Linked DNA regions of Nothobranchius furzeri. The protein of the gene in region 1 interacts with the protein of each later gene in a pairwise test. Links are inferred from orthologs where the notes say so. Each region holds a gene or a part of one and is shown on either strand. Other genes may lie near its edges.

What was found. The genes of interacting proteins can lie anywhere in the genome.
Region 2: the proteins of peripheral plasma membrane protein CASK (region 1) and tbr1b interact in a two-hybrid assay, tested with the Homo sapiens proteins (2 studies listed by BioGRID and IntAct). The link is inferred for Nothobranchius furzeri from reciprocal best matches to the Homo sapiens genes CASK and TBR1.

Annotation. Positions count from the first base shown.
Region 1 is NC_091754.1:50,607,190-50,613,649, forward strand, and holds part of peripheral plasma membrane protein CASK, read left to right. Parts: intron 1-2,166; coding exon 2,167-2,282; intron 2,283-2,983; coding exon 2,984-3,064; intron 3,065-5,609; coding exon 5,610-5,690; intron 5,691-5,780; coding exon 5,781-5,992; intron 5,993-6,460. UniProt on the Homo sapiens protein: Multidomain scaffolding Mg(2+)-independent protein kinase that catalyzes the phosphotransfer from ATP to proteins such as NRXN1, and plays a role in synaptic transmembrane protein anchoring and ion channel trafficking.
Region 2 is NC_091754.1:19,434,486-19,441,373, forward strand, and holds the start of tbr1b (T-box brain protein 1b), read left to right. Parts: upstream 1-2,268; 5' UTR 2,269-3,115; coding exon 3,116-3,813; intron 3,814-4,015; coding exon 4,016-4,170; intron 4,171-4,308; coding exon 4,309-4,430; intron 4,431-4,612; coding exon 4,613-4,771; intron 4,772-5,107; coding exon 5,108-5,169; intron 5,170-5,662; coding exon 5,663-6,506; 3' UTR 6,507-6,888. UniProt on the Homo sapiens protein: Transcriptional repressor involved in multiple aspects of cortical development, including neuronal migration, laminar and areal identity, and axonal projection.

The sequences.
Region 1 (6,460 bases):
CAAGCTAACAAATTGAACTAAGATAACCGGCTAGCAGAGCTTCTGACTGACAGTTTATGTGCAGCAGCAAATCAACTATCCTGATTAACAAGGTTATAAAAGCTCATAAATGAAAAATCACTTTGATGTGTGGGGGAACTTTTCCAGGCCCTCTTTAGCAGGGTGGGACTGGGAGGAGAGTGCTAGCTGTAGCCTTTTAGCTGGAAGCTAACCGGAGCCTGGGCTAACATCACCACCCGGTGGAACACTAGCAACATGAAGGTGGGTTGGTTCACCGGCACGTGTCGGAGTCAGCCCGGTAAAAATGATTAACGACACCGAGCGGAGTCACGTTCACGTTTGAAAAGCAGCGCTGATTCCAGAAACCTCAGCACAAAGTGCGTTCGTTGCTCTGAGCCAGCATGACGAACAAGGTAACAGCGCCGCTAACTCTGTTCGGGTGTTGCTTTCCAAAAGGGTCTATGTAGGGAGCGGGCGTATTACGTGAACAGAACCATCTGATTGGCCACATATCAGAAGGACTACATTTGATTGGTCAAATAACACTTCCACGTAAAAAACAGAGCTGGTTTACAAAAAGCTGATGTATGACACGGATGGAAATGTTTGAACCAAACATTTATCGCTGTTTTTGGCGTGTTTTGCGATGGGCCTATCGCACGTCCTATTATCGCGATGACGATAATTTTTCGATATATTGTGCAGCCCTAGTCTAGATTCTATCCGGTACAACAAATTGTTCACATTAGTATTTACTATTTAATCATACAAATAAAAACAGTTAAAGCTATTAATATTTTTTCCCATATTATATTTATATCTTATTTTTTAATGTGCTTGTAAAGCTGCTTGTGTTTTATAAAAACGTGTTCTTGTTCTACTCCAAAAATGCACACCGCTGTCCTGCATGAGCAAGGCAGGCTGTTGGTTTGTTCTCACTAAAACTGATATAAAGCCTAGTTTACGCTCCGCTCTGAGAAACCAGCTTTAAAAGAAGTTAAACTCACAAGTTAACTTAAGTGCCGAGCTTAGCTTTAGAAATCTGCCTGAACCTTTTTTTTTTTTTTTTTCTCTCTCTCTCTCTCTCTCTCTCTCTCTCTCTCTCTCTCTCTCTCTCTCTCTCTCTCTCTCTCTCTCTCTCTCTCTCTCTCTCTCTCTCTCTCTCTCTCTCTCTCTCTCTCTCTCTCTCTCTCTCTCTCTCTCTCTCTCTCTCTCTCTCTCTCTCTCTCTCTCTCTCTCTCTCTCTCTCTCTCTCTCTCTCTCTCTCTCTCTCTCTCTCTCTCTCTCTCTCTCTCTCTCTCTCTCTCTCTCTCTCTCTCTCTCTCTCTCTCTCTCTCTCTCTCTCTCTCTCTCTCTCTCTCTCTCTCTCTCTCTCTCTCTCTCTCTCTCTCTCTCTCTCTCTCTCTCTCTCTCTCTCTCTCTCTCTCTCTCTCTCTCTCTCTCTCTCTCTCTCTCTCTCTCTCTCTCTCTCTCTCTCTCTCTCTCTCTCTCTCTCTCTCTCTCTCTCTCTCTCTCTCTCTCTCTCTCTCTCTCTCTCTCTCTCTCTCTCTCTCTCTCTCTCTCTCTCTCTCTCTCTCTCTCTCTCTCTCTCTCTCTCTCTCTCTCTCTCTCTCTCTCTCTCTCTGCCAGAAGTTTTTGCGTTACCGCGCAATCATGAAAACATTAGCAGAGGCGCTCTAAAGCGTGGCTTCGGCTGCCGATGAAAAATCAGCCAATCTCTGTCAAAAAAACATCTGCAGATCTGATCAGTGCCACACAGAGCCCATTTCTTCTTCTTAAATACATTTGAAAGCCGTTTTTGTCCTTGTGTGATTAAAGTTAATGTTTTAAGGGAGTGATGTCATTTTCTGTAATCTGTGAATCGAATAGAAAACACAGTTCAGGCGTTTCCTAAAGTAGTTCAGCCCGACCAGAGGGTCACTGACCATCCCCCTCTAAGCCTAAATAATCCCAGTAAAAAAGGTTTGTGTAAACATTATGAAACCTAAACAACTTGCAGGGAAATTAGAAATATCGCCGCTTTCCGATGGATCACATTGGATGACCAGAGCCACGTTAAGTTATGCATAGATCTACTGTTCCCTGAAGGAAGGAGAGGAGCAGTGTTGTAGCGACTGAACCACCTCTCATCGTTGTAAAGCTGCCACTATGTGCTGGTGTGTGCAGGCGTGTGGCGTGTATAGCCATGGAGAAGACCAAACAGGAACAGCAGGCCAGTTGTACTTGGTTTGGCAAAAAGAAGAAACAATACAAAGACAAATACCTGGCCAAGCACAACGCAGGTACGTCACTGTTCAACCACGATGTCTACTAGCACAGAAGGACCTCAGGTGTTGTTTTGATTTAAATGTGAGGGCTTAAAGCCCCGAGACCTTTACTGTTTAGTGAACATGGTATAATCACATTGCTGCACCTGTTAGTGTTGCATGTTTCTCCCTCTGAGGCCTTTTTCTATTTACTGTCTGATGTTTCAGCTACTAACGTTTGTTGTTGACAGTCTTAAGTTGAATTATGGTCTGTAATAACCCTTCCGCTCCCACCCTCTGTCCATATTTCATGCTGTCTCTTACCCAATGACATGGCTGCATGTAAGTAACTGACGAAAGCTGGTATCCTTTATTTTCCCCTTTATCTCCTGGTGTTTTCATTGGAATGAGCTGCTCTGGTCTGGGTTGTTCACAGCAATGTGATTCAGATTGATTCTGGTGTTCAATCTGACCAGGTTTTCCACGATGTTACTCCCAAAATCAATTCATTGGCTAATTTCTCAAGCAAAACCAGTGCAGTTAATCCTACTTTCTCTACACTCTGTCATATCTGACCCATCTTATTTGTGTTGAGTTTGACTGCATGAATTCAGAAACACGGTTAAGTTTTAGTTTCACACCTGCCCTAAAGAGTTCCAGATCATTTAGATCCACCTGTAGATGCACCTTGGTGGTTCTCATCGGTCATGTTCTAAAGCTTCTCCTCTGTTGTTCAGTGTTTGACCAACTAGACTTGGTGACGTATGAAGAAGTGGTCAAACTGCCCTCATTCAAGAGGAAAACACTAGTTTTGCTGGGTAAGTTGTTATCTCTAAATAGATAAACTTGGATCAAACAGGAAGAAAACAAATTTGGTTAAATAAAAAAACTGTATAAAAAGATGTTAAAAAGAAAAAAAAGTGATTAAAAAATAATAAAGGGAGAGAGAAATCAGTGGATCCCGGGAAAGGTGGAATAAGAGCAGAATAAGGAGAGGGTGGTGACAAAAGTCACACCAAAGCCTGAACAGGTGAGTTTTCAGCTGCTTTTTAAAGGAGACCATTGAGTCCACTGATCTCAGGCTCAGGGGGAGAGAGGTCCAGAGTCTGGGGGCCACAGCAGCAGATGATCTGTCACTTTTGGTCTTTAGCCTGGTGCGCTGCACAACCAGTAGGATTTGGTCACTGGACCTCAGGGACCTGCTGGGGGTGTAGGGACTGAGAAGATCACCAACGTAAGATGGTGCTTGTCCATGTAAGGCCCTAAAGACCAGAACCAGGATCTTGAAATGAACTCTGAAGTTGACTGGCTGCCACTGAAGTTGGAGGAGAAGCGGGGAGCAGGGGAGTAGAAAGTTGCAGTAGTCTTAAGTGTGAGGAGATGATGGTGTGGAGGACAGAATGGGACTCAGTTTAGCAATGTTCCTGAGATGGAAGAAGGAAGAGCAAATGAGAGAACTGACTTTGGGAACCAGCTTGTCTGGGGCGCAGATGAGGATCTCAGTCTAATCTTCATTCAGCTGTAGAAAGCTCCCGGCTAACTGAGTTTTGAGAGTCTAAGCAGGTGTGTAGCAGCTGCAGCTTAGACATCTTATGGAGCTTACCCCGGCTTTCCACAGCAACCGTCAGCAGCACGTTACTGCAGCAGTACGTCATAGCTGCTGATAGGAACGGCTGTGGTCAACAGAACCTTTTCCACTGGAGCCGTCAGCAGCCGTCAGCAGCGCGAGTCGGCCGCGTCTCAGGAGCAGCATGTCGCGGCCTTTACGCGCCGGTTCTATTTCCTACGAGCGACGCCTCTGAAACGGGTCAAGTTCGACATTTTTGGGGAAGGAAAGACAGGAAATCGGACGCGGAAATGGAGAGAAGCTACCGAGATTTTCAGAATAAAGAACGTACTGCCTTCCGGTCGCTTTACTTTAAAAAAGGTTACTAACTGTGCGGCCCCGTGAGAAGTTATCACCTAGCTAGCGGTCTCCTTTGTTTTTCAGGTCCGTATTGGCGATTATAAAACGGACAGAATATAAAAACACAAACATTTTGGAGCCATGTTGTAGTTTTCTCCTGCTTGTTGTTGTGTTTACTGACGAAGTCACTCGTGTGACTTCGTGCCCTGTCGGTGACAGCTGCTCCTCTGCTGCGTCGCGTCTCGTGGGAAGGGCCAAGCAGCAGCTAGACGTGCTGCTGCAGTAACGTGCTGCTGACGGCTCCCGTGGAAACCCGGGGTTAGAGGAGATGTACAGTTGGATGTCATCTGCATAAAGATGGTAGGAGATTCCCTTTAAAGGAGCTCAGAATGTGCTTAAGAGGAAGCAGGTAGAGGAGGAAGAGTAGGGGCCCCTGCACAGAACCTTGTGGCACACCATGGGTAAGGGAGGTGGTGGAGGACCTAAACTTGGAGACGGCCACAGAAAAGGAGCGCTCAGAAAGATAAGAGGAGAACCACTCCAGAGCAGTTCCTGATAGGCCTATCCAGTCTCTCAGCCTCTCCAGTAGCAGGTGATGGTCAACAGTGTCAAAGGCTGCAGTCAGGTACAGCAGGACCAGAACAGAACAGTCCCCTGCATCACTGTGAGTCAGAAGGTCATTAGAGACCCTAAGAAGAGCTGTTCCAGTAGAAAGAGCTCTCTCTCCACTAGAGGAACTCCTTTATGTTCCTCTGCAGGTTCTGCTGCAAAAGAGTTGCCAAAAGACCTTTGCCCCTTTGAGACCACTGTAGCAGGGTTCATGCTGGCCCAAAAGGACAGGTTTCCAGGATTTTTCAGGAACAAACATGTACCTGCACTGGGGTATGTACTCAGAAATGGGACTTCTGGTTACTCAGTGGGAAATTATATCGGCAGACATCGCCAAACAACTGGCATTTGTCAAACTAGAAGAGCTGCTGGTGAAGCAGAATGGAAGGAACAGAAAATAAGGGAAGCCTTTATTCATCGCTACTGTGTCCAACAACATAGCTAACCGAGAGGCAGCGGCCATCCCTTCTTCATTGTTGATGCTCTGCCGCTGCAGGCAACTTTGGGCGCTTATCAGTGACATCATGCACAGTAAAATGTCACGATATGCTGACGACTCTTTGCAAAGTCCTGAAAGGGTCGATTTCACATGGAGAGGATGTAACGCCTAAGGACCGAGCCAGCCTATTCCCCCCGTCACCTTCCCCCTTTCTAGAAATCTCCTGAATGTCGTCTAGAGGAAACCGCTTACGCTTCATGATCAGGTCTGAGGACTGGATGGAAAGCAAGTCGAAGAGCAGCCACTGTGTAAAGAAATCTGATCAAGCCCTCTTAGAAGCGGAATATAACTAAATAAGTGGTGTTTTGTTACTTGTTTATGGTTCTCTCTGTGGTCTCTGTTTCTTCAGGTGCACATGGAGTTGGTAGGAGGCACATCAAGAACACACTCATTGCTAAACATCCGGATCGCTTCGCCTATCCTATTCCTCGTAAGCACGCCTACGTTTTGATTGCGACTTCTCATCGTCTCTAGAAAAACATGATAATTCACTCTCGCTGTTGTTCATCTCTCCACCCAGACACAACTCGGCCTCCTAAAAAAGATGAGGAGAATGGGAAGAACTATTACTTTGTGTCTCATGACCAGATGATGCAGGACATCAGCAACAACGACTACCTGGAGTACGGAAGCCACGAGGACGCCATGTACGGAACCAGGTTGGAGACCATCAGGCAGATCCACGTCCAGGGCATGATCGCAATCCTAGATGTAGAGCCGCAGGTAACAACAGTATGTGCTTTTCTATAAAAGATAATATTCTAATGTGCATGTCACATTGTTGATACCAGCCGTCAGAAGCCCCATCTCTGTCTGCTTCAAACGCATCGAAGTTGGGACTTCAGTATCTGGGCTGCTGAGACGATATTTCTCAGTAGCATGTCCTGGATTTCACCATCTGTTGTTCACACCTCCATTGCTTTTTCCACTCCTCCTCAAATGTCTGTCTGCTGACGTTTGAGATGAAGAATAAAATACCACATCTAAACCAACCCAGCAAAGAATCATACGTGTTAACAAGCTTCTAACGAGGGATAAACATAATCTCTCTCTCTCTCTCTCTCTCTCTCTCTCTCTCTCTCTCTCTCTCTCTCTCTCTCTCTCTCTCTCACTCACTCACTCACTCACTCACTCACTCACTCACACTCACTCACACTCACTCACACTCACTCACACACACACACACACACACACACACAC
Region 2 (6,888 bases), about 31 Mb from region 1:
GCTACAGTGTAGCCTAATTACCACCAGGGTGTGATTGTGTGTGTGAATGGGTGAATGACATTGTACAGCATCTTGGGGGGATCTAGGGCTCCAGAACGCGTTATATCAAATGCATGCCAACCATCAGTATCAAGTACTGATGATGTATTTCCAAGAAACTAGTAAACTTGAATATATATATATATATATATATATATATATATATATATATATATATATATATATATATATATATATATATATATATATATATATTCTTCAAGGGAGCCCTTAATGATTTTCCTGCTTCTCTCTCCAACTAAATGAAAGCAGAATTACGACTGTCATAGTCAACCCTTCCACCACCTGCTGTAGCTAGTGCTAACAACGAGCTAACGCAACATTGAGCCAACAGATACTAAAATAAGACATGAAGTAAAAAAGATCCACACAGTTGGACAAAAATGAATTATTACTCACAAGTCCAGTACAGCAACAAAGCCAGGTCACTATCAGACTGTGATTTCATAGCACTCATCAGCTGCCAAACAAGCGCCGTGCACAACTTGATGACTCAATTTTTTTTAGCATCCATCAGAATAAAACAGGTATTCAAACTCAGACTAATCATTCGGTTATCTGAAATTTCTTATTTAGATTTAGAATCAAACAACTAAACAAAATATTTTAGTCAATTTCTACCAGCACTGTATAATACGGGACATTTACAGTCGGTTTAGGGGTTTCCAATCATTGAGCTGTGGTCCAATCCTGGTTTGCACAATAAAAGTTTCTGAAATCAAAGTTAATTCTATTAACATATTTTATACATGTAGACTTGAATAGGGGGTTTATGTTCAAATTTGCAAAGAAATGTAAAAGTCATATAAATAAAGTGCATGGTCATTTTACTGTAACATTTGTTATAATTGCAATTAGCTCCGCCCCAAGTTCTCTAGTAAAAAGATGAACTTATTTACAAATGGTATCACTTTAATTAAAATGAACTAGTTGTCATTGTTTAAAAAAAACTATTGGACATATTTCAATAAATCTATCCAGATAAACCACATTAAAGCAGAGATCTAAAAACAATCAGAGACAATTTTTAAAAAAATATAACCAGTAGAAAACAACTTCATTCACTAGAATTTCTAAAGCAACTCTTTTGTATTTTTAAAGTTGAAACAACATATCAGATTTTACAGTGCACTGGAGCTCCTTGGTTTGGGTGCACCATATCATATAAAATACATACACTGACCAAATGTAAATGCATGCATCCAAGAGCACATTAGCATTTTCATATTAATTAAAACATTTAAATAGCTATAGATGTTGTTCATGGTGAGTCACTGCTTCAGCTGGTCAAAGGAGGCAGAAGGCAGATGTCCTAACCTGCACTTCTTTATGTCTCCTCGAGGGACAAATCTGGCCACAAGCATAACAAATCAGCCCCTCCTGTTTGATTATGTCCAAACGGCTAGCTGAGCCAATAAAGGGGGGACTTGGCCTGATAAACAGGCACACCTGGGGAGACGCACTGTGCAAATGCATGGTTGATTCAACAATTGGTTTCTTTAGAGAGAGGGGGAGGGAGAGAGAGAGAGAGAAAGAGAGAGAGTAATGCTTATTAATGATCATAGATGGAAGTGAACCATAATCCTGTAATGAGCAGAGCAGAGTGGCCTCTTTTCCTTTGGTGCAGACAAGCCTGTGCTTGCATGTTTCTCAGAAATAGATTGCTGGACCCAGTAGCCCTTCTGTAATGACCTCTCTAGTTAGTTTCAGAGAACCATGGCTGTTCATTAGAGAAACAAAATGCCTTCCAGTGTAATAGGCCTTTACTTGTGTTCCTTTAACCCTCAGATAGTCCTGGTTGGTTCCTCATTCTGCACGCAACTCAACCAAAAGCTGTTTTTCTTTAAATGTTCTAAGTGTTTTATGTTGTCAGTAAAAATGCAACATATCACTATGAAAAAAGCACATCCCAGTGAAGATTATTGAAGGAAACAAGAAATAAGAAAAAGTGAAATCAGAACTTTTCTGTCAGACAGTATCTAAACAGAACAGAACAGCTGTTCTGGAGTAACCTTATTAGCAAATGAAAAATGGAGGTGTTTGCAGCATCTGCAGCTGCTGTCTCATAATTTAATTTAATTTGATTTTATGTTTTCAATCAAAATTGTTTTATCACAAACTAAACCTGCTAGAAAATCTCCAATTGTGAAATGAAATGATTTAGGGTTTAATCACTGACTTCATCTCATCTGAATCGTGTTTATTTTTTTAGGAAATACATGTTTTATTTTATTAAAGCCTTTTACATGTACCTCAGAAATGTAATCAAAAAGAGTTTAAATGATTTATTTTTCCACACAGGATTTAATGTTTTTTTCTCTTCCAGTGAGCTTTTATTATTATTATTATTATTATTTATTTTGTTTTTCAAAGCCACAGCAGGTGCACCGGCTCATAACTTTTAGTACATGAAATATTTACCAGCACTGGGAATCATAAACACATCTTCAGAGGGACGCAGGATTTCACGCTATATCACAAACATTTTAAGGCTTCAGATGCACTGCCTGTCACGTACTGTCATTTATTTATTAAATTTTTTTGGTGTGTTAATAATATATCTAGGCTTCTCCGCGACATACTTTGGCACTCGTAGCGCATAAATAGGTAAATAACGCCGGTAAAAGGTAAATAACACAGCTGACAGCGAAAAACAACAATTATAATTACCTTCTTGTTGTATTTTTTTATGTTTCGTGCTTTATTTTTTAACCAGGAGAATCATTCGGAGTCCATATGCTTTAATCTCAGGCCCGTGTCACAATACAAACAAATCACTTTGTGCACGGCGCTCCTCAGATTGTCCTAATTAAGAGCTGTCTAATTAAATTACAGACTTGAGTTAACCAATGGCAGCACTTGTTTCATTAGCAACGCGCGCAGAGTGATGGAGAGAAAATCCACCCTGATTGCAGGATGGTGTCAATTGGCTAATTTACCGCCTTCCTTGCTTCAAGTCATCTCAAAGGCGCACTTGGTGGTGTTAGACTGGGGGAAGAGGCGTGTGCAGAAGCTGGTGATATAGGTTGAGGTAATAGTTGCTTCCTATTGAGCTATGCAGGTCGAGAATTGCATCTCGCTGCCGAGTGAACTCTCAAAGAAATTTATGAATGTGGGCAGTGGCTTTGCGAGCTCCAATGGATCCGAGGAGCTCTCGTTGCAGGACCATCCTATTATATCCGCAAGTGACAACCTGGAGAGAAGTTCACCTCTGAAAAAAAACTCCAGGGAGATGACGAATCAGTCAGAGGCAGACAATTTTCCCGACTCCAAGGACGCATCAGGGGACGTCCAGAGGGGCAAACTCTCTCCTGATCTTCACGGAGTCTCTGACATCCGTCATAATTTCGATGGATCTGCAGGAGAAAGGTGCATCTTTTCTCCGTCTTCTCAGCCGCAGTCCGTTTCAGCAGCAGCTCCCAGTGCGATGTTCCCTTACCCGAGCCAGCATGGACCCGCGCACCCGGCGTTTTCCATCGGAAGTCCCAGCCGGTACATGGCCCATCACCCGGTCATAACTAATGGAGCATACAACAGCCTTTTAACCAACACTTCTCCTCAAGCCTACCCGGCAGCAGGTTACCCTTACGCGCAACAATATGGACACGCATACCAAGGAGGGGCTTTTTACCAGTTCTCCTCGGCGCAAGCGGGACTGGTTCCGGGGAAGGCGCAGGTGTATTTGTGCAACAGGGCCCTGTGGTTGAAGTTCCACAGGCACCAAACTGAGATGATCATCACAAAACAAGGACGGTAAGAGGGCGCACATGCAGGACCAGTCGGATTTTCACATCATTGCAAGTCGGTCTCAAATAAATAAATAAACTATTTCCCCTTATAATAAAAGGCGCAATTGATGCATTTATTGGGACATCTAAATTGCAAATAAAAAAGAACATAATTTGTTTATATGGTAAAAATATCAGCATACATGTATTTTCTCCTGTTTCTGCAGACGAATGTTTCCATTTTTAAGCTTCAACATTTCTGGCCTCGACCCAACCGCTCACTACAATATATTTGTGGATGTAATCCTCGCTGATCCAAATCACTGGAGGTTTCAAGGCGGAAAGTGGGTGCCATGTGGAAAAGCGGACACGAACGTGATAGGTAATCACGACTTTTGAAAATTTCGATAGAAAATATTAGGAAAAGGGCATTTTCCCGCAGTTAATTTCATTTGGAAATAGGTCATCGCGAATCTAAAATCACTTTGAATGTATTTTTTTCTGTGCGTATTTTTTAAAGGTAATAGAGTTTACATGCACCCCGACTCACCCAACACCGGTGCGCACTGGATGCGTCAAGAAATCTCCTTTGGAAAATTAAAGCTCACCAACAACAAAGGCGCTTCCAACAACACAGGACAGGTAATGCAACCTCAAATCCAACTATTTTATTGTTGTTTAACGCATTTCATTAATTGTACGTATATTTACCGTTATGGTTTATTTCTTTTGTCTGAATTTGCTCCTTCTGTGTAAAAATAGTGTTTCCAAACTTAAAAATGTCTTTTTTCTTGTCTGACGCTCGTCCTTTATTGAAACTCCAGATGGTGGTCCTCCAGTCCCTCCACAAGTACCAGCCCAGGCTCCATGTGGTGGAAGTAAACGAGGATGGGACGGAGGACACCAGCCAACCAGGAAGAGTCCAGACGTTCACCTTCACAGAGACGCAGTTCATCGCTGTTACCGCGTACCAGAACACTGATGTACAAGAACTCTCTCTCTCTGCACAAAATAAACCATTTAGCGCATTTTGGAAATAACATGGATTTAAAAAATAATGTTGCATTTTTTTAAATGTATATATATATATATATATATATATATATATATATATATATATATATATATATATATTCGTTGTGAAAAACGAAAAAATATAAAGTTACTGATAGATTTAAACAAGGAATATGAGAATAAGTTTTTATCTTTGAGGTTTTTCCACAAATTAGAATTAAGTCTCAAATGAAATCACATTCATTATGAATTGTGTTTGCATGCTTACAGTTGTATGAAATGATCACCGCATCTTTTCTCTGCAGATCACGCAGCTGAAAATCGATCACAACCCGTTTGCAAAAGGATTTCGGGACAATTACGACACGTAAGACAACACAATTACATCTATTTGCCTCCTGGTTGCAATTTTTATCTGAACAACACAGTGCGCTATTTGGACAAGGATAATAAAAATGTTGCTTTTTATTTGAATGATTTTAATAGTAAAGAGCAAAAATCTGTTAACGAAACAAATTCAGCAGATTTTAATTAATTTACGTTCAATTTCGTTTGTGAATTTGGTTTGACCTTTGCGCACCGATTAAGAACAATATAGATTCCACAAATGATATTAAAAATGATTTAATTCCTTGTGTGAGACAGAAGGCCCATATTTCGAGGTTGCGTCAGGTGAAACGGGTTCCCAAAAAGCTGCAGATTATTTTTAATAAAAAGAAACATGATTTCAAAACGAATGGACGCACTGTGAAGTTCCCTTCTGAGCTGGTGTATTAGCAGACAAACGTCTTTGTTGAAAACGCCACCATTGCGCACCATTAAGCGCCGAATTGTTTTCTGTTTTCTCTCCATCTTTTCAGTGTCTACACAGGCTGCGACATTGACCGCCTAACTCCATCACCGGGTGACTCTCCGCGTTCACAGATCGTGCCGGGTGCGAGATATGCCATGCCTAGCTCCTTCCTGCAGGACCAATTTGTCAGCACTTATGCCAAATCTCGCTTTCACCCTGGCGTGGGGACTGGTCCTGGCACGGAGCGCAGCGTCCCACTCGGCAACAGCTTGCTATCCCCGCAGCAAACCGAGGAGCCCACTGTTGCCACCCCCCCGCAGCGATGGTTTGTCACCCCTGCCAACAACCGACTGGACTTTGCAGCCTCGGCATACGACGCTGCGGATTTCGCCGGTAACGCGGCCACCTTGCTGTCCTACGCAGCGGCCGGAGTGAAGGCTCTTCCCCTGTCGACAGCGGGCTGCTCCAACCGGCCTCTTGGCTATTACGCAGACCCGTCTGGCTGGGGAGGACGCACGCCGCCGCAGTACTGTGGCGTAAACAGCAAACCCAGCTCGGTCTTTTCCTGCTGGCCCGCCAACTCCCTCGGTGGCAGAGCCGCCACCAACTACCTGTCGGAGGAGGGGGACTCCATCGCCACGGAAAGGTCACCGATCGGTGGCTCGGAAGAGACCAAACCCAAAGACATCACCTCAGAGTCCAGCTGGATAGAGACGCCGTCGTCGATCAAGTCAATCGATTCGAGCGACTCTGGGATCTTTGAACAGGCAAAACGGAGAAGAATCTCACCGTCTGCCACGCCGGTTTCAGAGTCCGTGTCCCCGTTAAAAACGGAGCTGTTGGCACCGAGAGAGTGCGAGAAAAACTGCACGAAGGACATTGGTTATTACAGCTTCTACTCCCACAGTTAGAGAACAAACCCCTCTATCTATCTATCTATCTATCTATCTATCTATCTATCTATCTATCTATCTATCTATCTATCTATCTATCTATCTATCTATCTATCTATCTATCTATCTATCTATCTATCTATCTATCTATCTATCTATCTATCTATCTATCTATCTATCTATCTATCTATCATCAATCTATCTGGACAGTCACATCCTTGAAGGCCAAACTGTAAAATCTCTCCTCACCGCTGAACCACTGTAATTATTAACATATTGTAAATATTTCCGGACACGTGATGGTGATTAAATGTACAAAAATAGGTTTAAAAACGGGGCCACCCAATTTTCTTCTGTTCAGTAGCCTCATCTGTTGGTAACTTCATTTGGGATTCTGTAC